3 linked regions of the Xenopus tropicalis genome follow. The protein of the gene in region 1 interacts with the protein of each later gene in a biochemical or structural test. Links are inferred from orthologs where the notes say so. Each region holds a gene or a part of one and is shown in the gene's direction. Other genes may lie near its edges.

Region 1 (5,635 bases):
TCAAACAATAGCAAAAGCCATAGATTTTTCATGAGTAAAACAATAGGCAAAAAGTATGTTCAGAACAAGCCCTATTCATTGAATGTTTGCAAGGGCATACTGCCCCTTTAATTCTGTGATTATTCTTGCCCTGTCAAACCACAACCAGGAACTGAAAGGAATTATGTACAAGTCACATGATTACTAGGAAACTTCTCATGCTGGAAAAATATGAAATGTAAAAAGCAAATCATAGTTAACAGAACTACTGAAAAAATGTGATTGAGACCAACAGAACATGTACTTTATTTACAGATGCTTACTGAAACCCCTACTGTATTATAAATGTAACATAACTTTCCAGCCAATTGATCATAGTTCAGTTGCAGATATATAAATACAGAAGACAGTCAGTACTACAGTTAAGCAGTGTGTGAATGTCTTCAAATGACAATCCTCCGTTATAATTTTTACTGCATACCTAGTGGTTATGAATGTGTAGTAGTGATATTGTGGTACAGGTATGGGATCCCTTATCCGGAGACCTGTTATCCAAGTTCTGAATTATGGAAAGGCTACCTCTCATAGACTCCATTATAAGAAAATAACTCTAATTTTTAAAAATGATAATAAAACAGTACCTTGTACTGGATCCCAGCTAAGATATAATGACTCCTTATTGGAAGCAAACCAATCCTATTAGGTTTAAATGATTTTGAAATTATTTTTTAGTAGACTTAAGGCATGGAGATCCACATTATGGAAAGTTCTCTTATCTGGAAAGCCCAAGGTCCCAAGCATTCTGGATAAAAAGTCCTATACCTGTACATGGAAAATATCTCCTCTTATGTTTTCCAAAGCAAGCAACATGGAAGCTCCAACTCAGTTATGCATATATAAGTGCAGACAGTTAACTTACAAATAGGCTACGTGATGTTAATCCCCATGTGTTTGGGATATTTTTTTTTCTGTATGCTGGTAAATATTTGGCTTCTTTGTTTTTAGTTAAAATGCTTCTTTGTTGCTAAGATTACTGTTCCTAGGAATCTGTTGAGGTGCTCTCTTTGCCACTACAGAATAGTCAGTTGTTAGTAGATGGCAACAGTCAATGGTAAAATAATATAGAAAAAAGTAAGGGTCCCAGATCTCAATATAGCTACAGACTTATCCAATTAGGTTGAAATTTGATGTGTATTTACTGGCTTGATTATCAACAGAACTATAGGAGAGTGACTGCCAAAACCACATGTCTGACTGCAAAGTGGGGACTTTCTTTTAATGAATAGTTTGCATCAGGACACTTTATTTTCTCAATTTTTACATCTGAAGCTGCTTTCCATTTTATAACCCAATTTTTTTGTTAGGGTTGAAATGACATTGTTCAGAGAGGATTAAGTGACAGCTGTGCTAGTAGAAGCCATATGCCATTTAAAATCTAAAGCCAAAAAATCCCACTGAAAATAATCACATGGGACCTATTTACCTGTATGCTATTCATTCTCCTGTGTTTAGACCAAGTGTTAACTTGTGTTGCTCTTTTGCACATAAGTACACTGTACAATATAATTTAATTTGATTGTCTGTGTTTTAGGCATGGATTGTACATCTGGATGCCCTGAGGGCCCTCAAAGTGCTTTTCTTGGCCACCTGTCTGCCCAGTGGCTCAACAGGCTTAAAGGAGAACTGGAGCTTGCTAAAAAAAAGTAGGCTAGAAATGCTACACATTATATTTTGAGGTTCTGTATCAGCTCAAGGCAACCACAGCCTTTTAGCAGTGAAGATCTGTGAATCCGAAGTTGTCCCCAGTAGCTCCCCATCTTCTTTTCTGCTGATTCTCTGCACATGCTCTGTGCTGCTGTCACTTACTGAGCTTAGGGACCCACTCACATTATACTGTATGTAGAGAATATAATAGTCACAATTTAAAGACTGATTAGTAAATAATTAAAATTCTCATCACATGGCAGCTCAGAAACCAGTGCAGTGAATATCAGAATTTAATAGTCAGCCCGGTAGCATCACCCTATATGACAGACAAACCTTATTTTCTGTTTGATAATTTGCTACAATCCCCAAGTTTAGCTTGTCAGCAGTTGCTCACTGATTTTTTTTTTTAGGAGTGTCTGTAAAACTGCACATGCTCAAAGATGGTGATTTGCATTTGTCTGAATCATTACTGTTGTATAAGTTATTAAAATTTAGGCTTGTGCAGTATTATAAAATATGGCATTTCTACCCACATTTGTTTTTACTTTTTCTCTAAGGTGGCCATACATAGCGTGTATATGGGCCCCCCGGTGGGCTTATTCAACTGATATTTCTCCAAAAATTAGCTACATGTCATTTCGGCTGGTTTAATTTTACTGTCTGATAAGGACCGTATTGGTTTGTTGCTGCGGTCCTCATCTGACTGCACTGTAGGCCCATCTGTATATTGAGAAACCTTTGAAAAAGTAGGTCAGATTTTTAAACCCCACAGATGCAACTGCTGAAGCCATAAGGGGTTCCACAGAGAATTGTCTGCCTATTGGCCTATTGTCCACAAATATGCATATTGTATACATTTTCTGGACTAACTCTTCATTACCAATATCTTCTATAGCTTCCCAGTCAGTGGTAAGAATTTGCTTACTACATTTTAAGACATGGGATGCTGGTATCTTTGGGTATTTGTAGCCTTTAAGGAGGTTATGTAATAAAAAGTATAATTACCTGTTATTGTCTGCTGTGTGTTACTGAACCTGGGTAACCCTTTTTCCCCTCTCTTTCATATGTACTGTTATCCATTTTTCTCTGTTGGTGGATGAATGTTTTCATTTTACTCTGTTGGTGGATAAATGTTTTAGTTAGTGTGTTTTTGGTTTTGTTATAACGGAGTAGCACTCAATAAGGTTTCTAAAATCAGTCATTTATTTGGATGTTTGTATATTAATACACACTGTATTATGTTCTCATTTAATAGATTGCCAGAAGGATAAGTGAGCATCCAACCCACCCTTTGCTTATTGGGCTGCAGCCGACTTTGTAATCATCAGACGTTTTGCCTACAATCAAACATGGCAAACCGAGGCGGAGCTACCAGACCGAATGGACCGAATGCAGGAAATAAAATCTGTCAGTTTAAACTTGTCCTTTTAGGAGAATCCGCAGTTGGAAAGTCTAGTCTAGTGCTTCGCTTCGTAAAGGGACAGTTTCACGAATTCCAAGAGAGCACAATTGGAGGTCAGAGAAATATTGCAAAGTATTACAGCTGTATTTAAAAATGTAATCAAAACATCACAAATATATACATTATATATTGAATGGTACCCCAAATTATTAGTCACCAAGCAGTTCCATGACCATTTAAAATAATGAGGCCACAGGCAGGGTCCTGGAACTCTGAGGTGACTTTATACTTTACAATAGAAAGTACTTTATTAACAATATAGTGGGGATGCATGAATTCAGGATTCGGCATTTTCCAGCAGGATTCGGCCTAATCCATGCCTCTGGCCATACTTAGAACACGTTGTTCTCTATCCCCTTCTTCATCTCCGTTTGCATATGGAAATTTTAGGATTCAGATTCGGTCCAGTATTCGGCTGAATCTTTCACAAAGGATTTGGGGTTCAGCCAAATCCTTATAATGGATTTAGTGCACAGGTTTCCCTAAATGAAATTGAAGTTTAAAACACTGTTTAACCCTTTCTGTTCAACTGGACTGTCTCTTAAAACTGTAACAGGAGCCAGGTCTATAAATCAGCTTTAATTAGCTGGCTTGCAACATTGTTTCTGTAGTCCGAGCCAGGAGTGCTTTTAACTGCAATTACATGTGCAAATACTGTAAACCCACTGAAATCTATAAATGTTAAGTCGCTCATGATTGTATATGCTTTTATCATGCAAAAAATAGTTTTTGTGGGGAGGATGCCTTTAAGGCTAGAGTCATATGAGTGATTAGGTCATTTGGTGTGGCCTAGCTGCTTAGGTGAGGGCTGGGCAGGTACACTGCAGGCTCACTGCTGACATTGCAGAACTGCACACATCATTTGTTGAATGAGCTGCTGAGTATCCAATTACCTTAAATCAATCGTTAATCTGATATCTAGAGCTATAGGGCACCAGCCAACATAGTTGTGTGTGAGAGGGTGATATGTCTTTGCCTTACTTGTGTAAATTCTACTAAAGGGTATATAAGCTTAAAAACAGATATTTATGTAAATGTATTCATAATACTTCTCTGAGAACTCATGAAATTTACTTTCACTTTTCTGAGATATTGGCAGTTTTAGACGCTTCGGCTCAGCAGCTCCCTTTAAAGGCCAAATGTGTCGTAACAAACCTGTCTATGCATTAGATTTCCTTTAATACTGTGATTTATAACAATTTGTCTGTATGACTCCCATTGCTGTCATTTGGTAACACTGGACTGGTTTAATTCCTGATCAGATGGAAAACTTCAGAGGAAAATGTAACGTTGCTTTTCTCTGTTTTGCACACACTTTATGTTGCTCTTTATTATGTTTAGAATATCAGGATCTGGAGTTAGAGCCAGATTACATTTTACCACCCATGTGCCCAAGTAACCAAGAATATAGATAGCAGTTTACATAATAGGCTTATCATTATACAGGTATGGGGCCTGTTATCCAGAATGCTTGGGACCTGGGGTTTTCTGGATAAGGGATTGTTCCGTAATTTGGATCTCCATAATTTAAGTCTGCTAAAAATCCTTTAAATATTGAATAAACCCAATAGGATTGTTTTGCCTCCATTAATTATCTTAAATATCTTAATTAGGATCAAGTACAAGGTAATGTTTTATTATTAGAGAAAAAATGGAAATCACTTTTAAAAATTATAATTATTTACTTACAATGGAGTCTGTGGGAGACAGGCTTTCCGTAATTTGGAACTTTCTGCTACCAGCTGCAGTTCTGCAACTCTCGCCATTTCCCTGCAGCTGGAAGGCCACAGGCTGTGGAAGTCTTTTGGTAATATTTAAAATGAACTATAGAGGGGCTGTTTCTGTGATATTACTACACTGAATTTTGGTCCTTTTTTGATTTTATATTTCAGAGGAGACATTCTATAATCACATAGGATTTTTACTATTAAAGAATATTTTATATACTATACAGATATGGGACCCGTTATCCAAGATTCAGATTTTTAAAAAGTATTTCCTTTTTCTCTGTAATAATAAAACAGTACCTTGTATTCGATACCAACTAAGGTATAATGTATCCATATTGGAGGCAAAACAATCCTATTGGGTTTAATTAATGTTTTATTGTTTTTTTAGTAGACTTAAGGTATAGATATCCAAATAACAGAATTCCCCTTATCCGGAATACCCGAGCATTCTGGATAATGGGTCCTATACCTATACTGTGTTCTGGGCTAAAGCAAGTCATATATAGGAATTCTTAGTAGTTCTGGGAGAGTCTTAAACAACTGAATCTTTGACTTGTCAGCTATGTATAGAGCCGTATTCAGTGGGACCCGAATCTTTGGGCCAACCCACGAAGGGGCCATTTGCATTGGCCTATAACTTCCAACTTGGTTATGATGAAGTTGTAGGTAGCCCATGCATGCCAGTGTAGTAATTATTTGGGGATTTGCAATATATCATTTGTAATATGAAAAAACATTACTTTTTTTGTTGTTGTTT
Region 2 (5,635 bases), on another chromosome or scaffold:
CGGATTCCTTAGGTCTGATCTGCTGCTTGTGCAGTAGTCAGGGGGGTAATTATCTTGCCGAAATAATATGCATCTTTGTTTGTGTTTTTATATCTGCAGTGCTGGGGAGACAACCTACAATTTGGACCATACCAATAACCTGCGGGTTGAGTTGCAAAAATACTACGAGTTAATAGATGCATTAAGGTGAGAGTCCTCATTTTGTGTTGTAAACAGCATGTGTTGTATATGTGATGTGGAAAAATGCAGGCAGAGAAAACTCCAATACTGTCCAGTGCCATCCTGTGTGTGTATCAAATGATATGCCTTAAGGTGGCCAAACACTGGAATGATGCATTCCTTTGGCAGCACTACATAGAGGAAAGGTAGGTGGTTAGCTTGTGTGTCATTGAGATGCCCTAGGTAGGGTGTGTTGGGATGGACTGGGGACAGGGATCCCTGTACTTTCTGCCCATGTGCATGGCACCTTACTCTGGATTTTCATTTTTGCAGGGTGTAAAGCACAGCCCAGTGGTGAGTGCTTATGCTCAGATAACTCTAATATAGCAATATTTGATAGGTGGAAGAAATCTGTACTATTCTTACTAAACATGTGTTTTTGCTTCAAAAGTATCCTGCTGGCCTCCACCATTTTAGAAAAAGCCCTTTGCTATATATTGCCCATATAATCATTTGTATTGTTTGCCAGCAAGAAGATTCTCACCCTTGGAATGAATGAAGAACCCAAGCCTCACCCTAAAACACAGCAGTTACAGAAGATGGTGAGATATTCGGCCACCTTGTTTGTTCAGGTAATGATTTGTTTATTTACTTCCTTGACATTTATTTGTTTAGAATCTCTGCATATGAGATGCTGGTGCAACACTGTTATTGAATTGTAGTTGGCAAATAGATTAGGGAATATAATGCTTATGGTAAGTTCAGTTCCACGATTCTCACTCAGTACCATGCACAGTCAAATTCCTGTTAATTGTAACCTCCATCAAGAGCAGTAATGAGACTCTCACTTTCTGTTTTACTGGTCTGACCAGTAAAGGCAGTGAGTCACTTGACATGAAGGACTCTTGACTCATCCTTTTTGTTAATTTCTCTTTCTGTTCAGGAAAAATTACTGGGCTTAATGTCTTTGCCAACTAAAGAAATATACGAGGAGCTTAAACAGAAGCGGAGGCAAGAGAATGAGCAGAAACTGCAGAGAGAGCGACAGGTAAGTAATCCTATAGTAATCTATCATAGTGCAACTGCTAGCTGTTGCTACCAACATATATCTGCTAGTTCAATTGTATGACGATTCCAGGCCCAGACTGGGATTCAAAACTGGCCTTGGTGTTCACAGAGGCCCAAACTGCGCCCACCAGCCCAATAAATAGTGACTGTCTATGGCATCTTACAGCAGCCCCTCTGGCTTTGGCCAGAACCCATAGATTGCCAGTCTGGGCCTGGGCCATCACCCCCAAACCCCATAAAAGATACTGGAAGTCATAATACTACCTAAATTATTGTGATTAAATAATTGTGGCAACACTAAAGGTCCCCATACATGCTGAGATCCGCTCGCTTGGCGATCTGCACCCGATAACCCCACCTATGGGTGGCTGATATCGGGGAGCTTTTAGGTAAAAAAAAAAATTATTCGATCATTTTGGCCCTGGGGCCAAACGATCGGATTATGTGGGCGGCAATGGGGCAGTCGGTTCGGGGGCCGCATCAACAAGCCGATACGGTCCCCGATCCAACTGGATTTTCTAACCTGGCCGATTGATATCTGGCCAATTTCAGGCCAGATATCGGTCAGCCAGGCCCCTCGGTTCTGCCGCTACACGGGCTGATAAGCTGCCGAATGGGTCCAAGGGACCGATATCGGCAGCTATAATCGGCCCGTGTATGGGGACCTTTAGCCATGTGACAGACCCTTTTAACCTACAAGGGCAAGTATAGAGAGAAGAAGGCTTTACGTTTACGTCAAGTGCAATTATAAGTACAATCTGCTTTTTTTCCCACATTCCAACATTTTTTCTTGATTTCTGGTATCATTGCAGATCCAAATGGGCGATTCTATTGATGAAGTTGATGTAGCGGCACATGTGCTTTTGTCAAATCAGGCACAGTCTATTTTCTAAATCCGACTGGCCATTGGTCAGGGTTCGCTGGCATCATTTCTGGTGTTTGGCATGCGAGTGACATGTGTGCCCTATTATTGCTGCACATGCCCTTTGGCAAAAAGACCACAAAGGGAACCCTGGAGCTACTGCCTGATAAGAAGGTTGCAGTAGCTCCAGGGTTCCCTGCCTCAATAGGCGCAGCAGTGTCTGATTTGGAATAGAAGGCAGGAAGGATTGAGCATTCTGACCCAAGCACCATTAACAAAAGTGGTGATACATGCAGCTCTCTGTCTGGAAAAGTGCAAGCTGCAGTTTTAGAGTTTAGAGCTCTAAATTCTACACTTGGCTAAATCCATGGCAGAAGGACATGTTATTTTTGTGAGTGTCTGGAGGAAGTTTCTTTCAGCAGCTTCTCTGTATTTTCTTTTGCAGGCTGAAGCACAGAAGGCCGGTGATGACAAGAAAAGGGATGTACGCAATGGTGGTCTGTCTCCGAGTGGTCAGATTCGCAAAGTTGAGGGCTGGCTTCCGACATCCGGACACCCTCGAAACAGAGAGATGTCAGACCCCCTTCTCCAGCAGATTGAAAACATCACATCGTACATCCGGCAAGCCAAAGATGCTGGGCGAGTGGACGAGGTGCAGATGCTGGAGGATAACCTTAGACAACTGCAGGAGGAGTACGACGAGCAGCAGGTGGAAACAGCCATCCAGATGTCCAAGGTTCTGGCTGAGGAGGAGGCCATGCAGAGGGAGCAGCTGGAAGTGCTGAGGAAAAGAGAGGTGAAACGCGAGCAACTCAAAGGCTTAGCTCAACACAACAGAACTCATTCATTGGATTTTAGAGAGCAGGGACAGCCAATGGGGTGGCAGGAAAAACAGACAGCAGCTCTGGACCTACAATTTCCCAAACGTGACCTCAACGAATCCCTTCCATCCCAGCGTGTTACTGAAAGCAAACTGGATGTGGAGGACTACCATGTACTTCCAAATCACTCCATGACCACAACCCCTGTTTTGCCCAAAGTGGAGAAGAGTAAAGTTACACCCTCTAACCCTTTCGAAGATGAGGATGATGAACCAGCACCTTTGCTTCCTCTCCACACACATCACAATGGTAGGAAGGAGTATAATCCCTTTGACGAGAATGATGAGAATGGCTTGGATAGTAAGGAAGAGGATAATAAACATTTAACAGCCCCTGCCTCAAGCAATCCCTTTGAATGCTCCACAGACAGTAATAGCGCATCAGGTATTTCCCAGAATCCCTTTGAAACTGATGAGGATCAGATCCCAGGAAACCCATTTGAGGACAGTGAGGAGACCCAGGATGAAGAGGTCATAGAAGAAGATCTGCTGCTGCAACAGATTGATAACATCAAGGCGTACATCTTTGATGCCAAGCACAGTGGCCGGCTGGATGAAGTAGAGGTTCTAACTGAGAATCTGCGAGAACTGAAGAAGACACTTGCCAAACAGAAGGAGCAAATTAAATAACACAGAGTGGTGAGAAAAACACCTCCATGGGGCCGAACAGCGGGTCATGCTCAGAGTTCTGGATCATTTAAAACCTTTGCAGTCCTGGGCACTTGTAGCACCAAAAGGGTTATGTGGTCAAGATTGTGGCTTTTCAGTGCCCATTCAGTTTTCATTGTCACATATAGGCTTCCAATTTGTTTCTTTTCAGTAGGCAGTAAAGTATTGCAGCTTGGTTTGTTACATGATTTCATTGGTTACATCCACTTTTACATATGAATGGGAGCTGCCAATATGCTTGTCCCAGCATCTGTCCTCAGCTGAAAGCAGCAATCTGACAGCTACCATGTCTGTGTAATATATACAGAGATAGAATGATCTTTGCAAACAGTATGGGAAGATAAATGCAAAGTCACTTATAAATAGGGTATACCACCCTTTAAAGGGCATTATACCATTAGGAGTAAGTGGTTATTATTTTCTCAGTCATCCAATGCATTGCTTCATGCTGTGATGTGTATGTGATTGATTGGGAGGGCCATGCTGCCATGAAAAACTCTAAATATCAGCCTTGGCCCCTTGTATCATATCAGCTTAAAAAAGGGCTGTAGCCTAGACCAATGTTTCTGTAAAAAATACTTTTATGCCTATACATATGTTTTCCATTAATAAGGTTAGATCTCAGAGCCACAGTCTGTCCTTATTCCTTTGTGTAAGTATAACATAGTAAATTCACACAGTGGGTCCAGTTTTAAAGTGGACATATACCCAACCCATGTGACTAGATATGGATGTAAAACCAATTTAATTTTTGTTGTTGGTTGGGGATAGTTGCCCTTTAACAAACCCATTAACAAGTGTTCATGAAAGGAGCTCATAAAACGCTATTGGTCCCAGTTAACACTAACTATGGACAACATATGTTTAAAAGGTAAAAAGGAAATAGTGGTTTTAGTACAGGGTCAGGATCTGTAATTATTTAGCACTTCAGGGCCAGTTTCAAGGGAAAGGACTGGCACGACAGAGACCATATTTTCTTATCCTTTTACCTGTCATTGATCCAGGGCTCTGCCTCATGGTATGATAACGTTGGCCACTTTATTTAATTGAATTGGCCATCACTCCGTAAATGGGCTGAAAGCTAAGAATGGAGTCCCACCTGTGAATGTGTGACCTGGGGCGCTGCTCCCGCGTGTCCCCCTTGTGAGTTCAGATTTGGCACATGTGTATTTAAGAACGTCTCACAGGGGATGCCTGGGGCAATATGGTGGTGGCCCACTGTGCAGATATGAACCAGGGTGCTTTCTAATGAAATGGAGCATCAACCTGGGGTTGGACATAAGCGATTTAGGTCACCGGGGGGGGGGGCAGTAACTAATAAATTGATACCCCCTCAGTAACTTGAAATTTCCGTATTAGGACAAGTTTTTAGCTCTCTGACACTACTATTTCTAGGGCTAAAAACAAAACCATTATACATTTGCCCTTCCTTTATCATCTGACATGTGACAGCAAAGGGATTGATTGAGGCAACCAAATCCTTAAATATTGGCTGAACTGAATATTACCAAGTACAAATCATTCTTGGCCAAGTCCAAACTGAGTTCTGTTTTATCTTTGATTGTATTTTGTAAAAACCACTTATTCCAAGGCACATAGGAACAAATCTACATGGAACAAATACAGTGTGGGTGTATGTGTGTTGGTGCGTGTGTGTATGTGTGTTGGTGTGTGTACGCGTGTGTGCGCGGCAGTGCGCCATAACCAAAAGCAGTATTTGTACAAAGCAGAGTGATAAGTGTGAGTTTTCTGAGAACAGTGTTTGCACTTTGTTATTTATACAATGGCAACTGGGAGCTCCTACAGCTCTGACACTACAGGCCAACATGGCCAGTGGCCAGGGGCATAACTACAGACCTCTACAACTGAGGGGCACCCATTAAGGACCCACATTTACCCTGCTCCCTCCCTCCTGCTGGCCCCTGCACCTCCTGATGTATACATGGAGAGGAGTGGGTTACATGCATTATGGGGTGCACAGGCAAATCATTTGTCCC
Region 3 (4,591 bases), on another chromosome or scaffold:
CTTTGCAGCTTTCAAATGGGGGTCACTGACCCCGGCAGCCAAAACCTATTGCTCTGTGAGGCTCCAGTTTTATTGTTATTGTTACTTTTTATTCCTTATCTGTCTATGCAGCCCCGATACTATTCATTTTCCTATCTCTCGTTTAAACCACTGCCTGGTTGCTAGGGTAAAAAGGACCCTAGCAACCAGCTGCTAAAATACCAAAGTGGAGAGTTGCTGAACAAAAAGCTAATTAACTGAAAAACCATAAATAATGAAGACCAATTGCTAATTGCAGTGTCTAAAACATTAAAAGTTAATTATAGGTAAACTTCCCCTTTAAGTCGGGGGTGGGGCTGCATTCGCCAGTCCCTGATTTTATCTCCTTTGAACCTGATGATTATTGTATTTATTCTGATTAAGCTGATGGGGTAGTTTCTATGGTAACTGTAAGCATTGTTTTGGGACCAGGGATTGGCTGATGGGTGGGCAGGTCTGTCCAATCCACATGGCGTTGCTTCTTACAAATCTCACATTTGTTCCCTTCACAGATCTGCGATTCCGTGGGGCTGGCGAAACAGATCGCTCTTCATGCAGAACTTGTAAGTGTCGCTGAACTGCAACTCCCTGCATGGCTTGTTAAAGGGGTTGTTCACCTTTAAATTAAGTTGGAATTGGAATTTACGCAGCTATAATATGAATAGGGGGCTGTTCCCGCTGAATTGTGCTTAGTACAGGGGAATCCCTATGTGCCATAGTTTTATGGTATCTCTCTGTACAGGCTATGAGCAAACTTAGGGGGCTGTTCCTGCTGAATTGTGCTTAGTACAGGGGAATCCCTATGTGCCATAGTTTTATGGTATCTCTCTGTACAGGCTATGGGCAAACTTAGGGGGCTGTTCCTGCTGAATTGTGCTTAGTACAGGGGAACCCCTATGTGCCATAGTTTTATGGGATCTCTCTGTACAGGCTATGGGCAAACTTAGGGGGCTGTTCCTGCTGAATTGTGCTTAGTACAGGGGAATCCCTATGTGCCATAGTTTTATGGTATCTCTCTGTACAGGCTATGAGCAAACTTAGGGGGCTGTTCCTGCTGAATTGTGCTTAGTACAGGGGAATCCCTATGTGCCATAGTTTTATGGGATCTCTCTGTACAGGCTATGGGCAAACTTAGGGGGCTGTTCCTGCTGAATTGTGCTTAGTACAGGGGAATCCCTATGTGCCATAGTTTTATGGTATCTCTCTGTACAGGCTATGAGCAAACTTAGGGGGCTGTTCCTGCTGAATTGTGCTTAGTACAGGGGAATCCCTATGTGCCATAGTTTTATGGTATCTCTCTGTACAGGCTATGAGCAAACTTAGGGGTCTGTTCCTGCTGAATTGTGCTTAGTACAGGGGAATCCCTATGTGCCATAGTTTTATGGTATCTCTCTGTACAGGCTATGAGCAAACTTAGGGGGCTGTTCCTGCTGAATTGTGCTTAGTACAGGGGAATCCCTATGTGTCATAGTTTTATGGTATCTCTCTGTACAGGCTATGAGCAAACTTAGGGGGCTGTTCCTGCTGAATTGCGCTTAGTACAGGGGAATCCCTATGTGCCATAGTTTTATGGTATCTCTCTGTACAGGCTATGGGCAAACTTAGGGGGCTGTTCCTGCTGAATTGTGCTTAGGAATCCCTATAGTAACACAATAGGAGGGTTATTGAAGGTACAGAGGAAGTTTTAGGAGCAAAATAAAGCAAAAAGAATCAATGGGGAAAAAATGAAGGTTTGCTCATTAAAGGTCATGTGACCTGATCCGATATCTTTGCTCGCTGACAGGATCGCCGAGCGTCGGAGAAGCAGAAAGAAATCGACAAAGTCAAAGAGAAACAACAGAAAGAAATCAGCAAACAGAAACAGATAGAAAAGGTAGGTCCCTACCCCTGAGCAGTTTTTACCCCCGGGGGGGGGGGGGCAATACTCCCTTTGTGCTTCTCATGCTACTGTTAAACTGGTTATCAGATTTTCCTAAAGTATGAAAAAGTCACTTTTTGGGTGCAGTTTTCCTTTAACGTTTAAAGGGGTAGTTCACCTTTTAATATGTTGTAGAAATTGATATTCAGCGACTATTTGCAATTGGTCTTCATTTTTTAATATTTTATGGTTTCAGCAGCTCTCCATTTGGTCTTTTAGCAGCTATCTGGTTGCTGGGGTCTTATTTACCCCAGCAACCAGGAAGTGGTTTCAACGACAGATGGGAATATGAATAGGGGAGGGGCCTAAATATAAAGATAAGGAATAAAAAGTAACAATAAAACTGGAGCCTCACAGAGCAATAGGGTTTGGCTGCCGGGGTCAGTGACCCCCATTTGAAAGCTGCAAAGAGTCAGAAGAGGAAGGGAAATAATTAAAAAACTATAAATAATGAAGACCAATTGCAAAGATGCCAGGAATAGGCCATTCTATAACATACTAAAAGTCAACGAAAAGGTGACCCGCCCTAATGGCAGTGTATCAGTTGGGGGGCCCCGGTTGCTCCCCCGTTGGGGCGATCTGACCGTAACCTCTGTACCCCCAGGATCTGGAAGAGCAGAGCCGTTTAATCGCCGCCTCCAGCAGGCCCGCCCAGGCCAGCGCCGAGGGGCAGTTTGTGGTTCTGAGCAGCAGCCAATCAGAAGACAGCGATGTGGGGGACGAGGGGAAGAAGAAGCAGCGAGAGTCGGAGGCGTGACGGAGGCCGATTAAAGGCACGGGCAGGACACATCGCCTTTTATTATCCCCGTAATCACTCGAGTACAAGCGCTCATTACTTTGCCTTTGGGAAGCGGCCATGTTTGGGGGCCGCCATACTGACCCGGGGCGCCCCCGCGGAACCTTCGGTGCCCCCCAGACCAAGCCTATTGTGATGCTGCCTCCATTTACAGGACAATAAAGGGGAAGCGCCGAGCTTGATGGGAGTTGGGCGTCGGCCTCGCGCCGTCCGTCGTCGTTTGTAATGAATCGTTGTCGTAACGGGACGCTCTTGTGCCCCATCGTGATTAAACCTTTTAATTGCTGGGGGCGGGGGGGGGGTTAATGCGTTTGCCCTCAATGCCCTCTTGAATGTCCTGCCGCCGTCCATAAGGGCAGTCAGGTGTATGGTTTAAAGGGCAAGCTAACCTCAAGATTAAAATTTTAATAAGTCACATTCTAAGAAACTTTGCAGTTGGTCCTTTTTTTTCTGCTGATCTTTAATGTTAACCCTTTAGCATCTGAAACAAAGTGGGCCTGTTCCAGGCACGCCCAGTCTGTGCAACTCCCAGTATAGGGGTAGGCGGCACGTACTGACTGGGGGATCCCGGGAGTTGCCCACTTCTACCTCTTACCTGTCAGGTTCTATAGGGATAAATGTAGAACAGTAATTACAGGGGGTCAGACAATGATATGAGGTATAGCGCCCCCTGCTGGGAGCTCCGACTTTCCACAACCACTAAGGGCAAAGACACACAGAGCTACTAGTAGCAGTGTACAGGGGCCCAGGGCCACTGGTTTGTCTGGGGTAGTAGGCACAGGCACCAGTAGGCACCCCCCCTTACTGCACCTTAATGCCCCCCCCCCCCACCCGGGCACATAATTAACAATAGTCACTCCCCCCAGGGATTATGGGAGGCAAGAAAGTAGCTGATACTGGTTGTCATGGAGAGTTTTGCCTTTACCAGTTCAGTGATACCATGTGACACAAACAGATGGAATGATGGGTAAGTGGGTTGGGCCTGTAAGTGCGTTGCCTGATTCAGCGATACCATGTGACACATACAGATGGAATGATGGGTAAGTGGGTTGGGCCTGTAAGTGCGTTGCCTGATTCAGCGATACCATGTGACACAAACAGATGGAATGATGGGTAAGTGGGTTGGGCCTGTAAGTGCGTTGCCTGATTCAGCGATACCATGTGACACAAACAGATGGAATGATGGGTAAGTGGGTTGGGCCTGTAAGTGCGATGCCTGATTCAGCGATACCATGTGACACAAACAGATGGAATGATGGGTAAGTGGGTTGGGCCTGTACGTGCGATGCCCGATTCAGCGATACCATGTGACACATACAGATGGAATGATGGGTAAGTGGGTTGGGCCTGTAAGTGCGATGCCTGATTCAGCGATACCATGTGACACATACAGATGGAATGATGGGTAAGTGGGTTGGGCCTGTAAGTGCGTTGCCCGATTCAGCGATACCATGTGACACATACAGATGGAATGATGGGTAAGTGGGTTGGGCCTGTATGTGCGATGCCCGATTCAGCGATACCATGTGACACATACAGATGGAATGATGGGTAAGTGGGTTGGGCCTGTAAGTGCGATGCCCGATTCAGCGATACCATGTGACACATACAGATGGAATGATGGGTAAGTGGGTTGGGCCTGTATGTGCGATGCCCGATTCAGCGATACCATGTGACACATACAGATGGAATGATGGGTAAGTGGGTTGGGCCTGTAAGTGCGATGCCCGATTCAGCGATACCATGTGACACATACAGATGGAATGATGGGTAAGTGGGTTGGGCCTGTATGTGCGATGCCCGATTCAGCGATACCATGTGACACAAACAGATGGAATGATGGGTAAGTGGGTTGGGCC

The links. The genes of interacting proteins can lie anywhere in the genome.
Region 2: the proteins of rab5a (region 1) and rbsn form a complex in vitro, tested with the Homo sapiens proteins (3 studies listed by BioGRID, with this or other methods). The link is inferred for Xenopus tropicalis from reciprocal best matches to the Homo sapiens genes RAB5A and RBSN.
Region 3: the proteins of rab5a (region 1) and appl1 form a complex in vitro, tested with the Homo sapiens proteins (2 studies listed by BioGRID and IntAct, with this or other methods). The link is inferred for Xenopus tropicalis from reciprocal best matches to the Homo sapiens genes RAB5A and APPL1.

The regions. Positions count from the first base shown.
Region 1 is NC_030682.2:45,577,076-45,582,710, forward strand, and holds part of rab5a (ras-related protein Rab-5A), read left to right. Parts: intron 1-2,941; 5' UTR 2,942-3,035; coding exon 3,036-3,201; intron 3,202-5,635. UniProt on the Homo sapiens protein: The small GTPases Rab are key regulators of intracellular membrane trafficking, from the formation of transport vesicles to their fusion with membranes.
Region 2 is NC_030680.2:132,267,459-132,273,093, forward strand, and holds part of rbsn (rabenosyn-5), read left to right. Parts: intron 1-99; coding exon 100-186; intron 187-688; coding exon 689-791; intron 792-1,102; coding exon 1,103-1,207; intron 1,208-2,534; coding exon 2,535-3,599; 3' UTR 3,600-5,635. UniProt on the Homo sapiens protein: Rab4/Rab5 effector protein acting in early endocytic membrane fusion and membrane trafficking of recycling endosomes. Required for endosome fusion either homotypically or with clathrin coated vesicles.
Region 3 is NC_030680.2:148,650,105-148,654,695, reverse strand, and holds the end of appl1 (DCC-interacting protein 13-alpha), read left to right. Parts: intron 1-530; coding exon 531-581; intron 582-1,801; coding exon 1,802-1,891; intron 1,892-2,540; coding exon 2,541-2,693; 3' UTR 2,694-3,159; downstream 3,160-4,591. UniProt on the Homo sapiens protein: Multifunctional adapter protein that binds to various membrane receptors, nuclear factors and signaling proteins to regulate many processes, such as cell proliferation, immune response, endosomal trafficking and cell metabolism.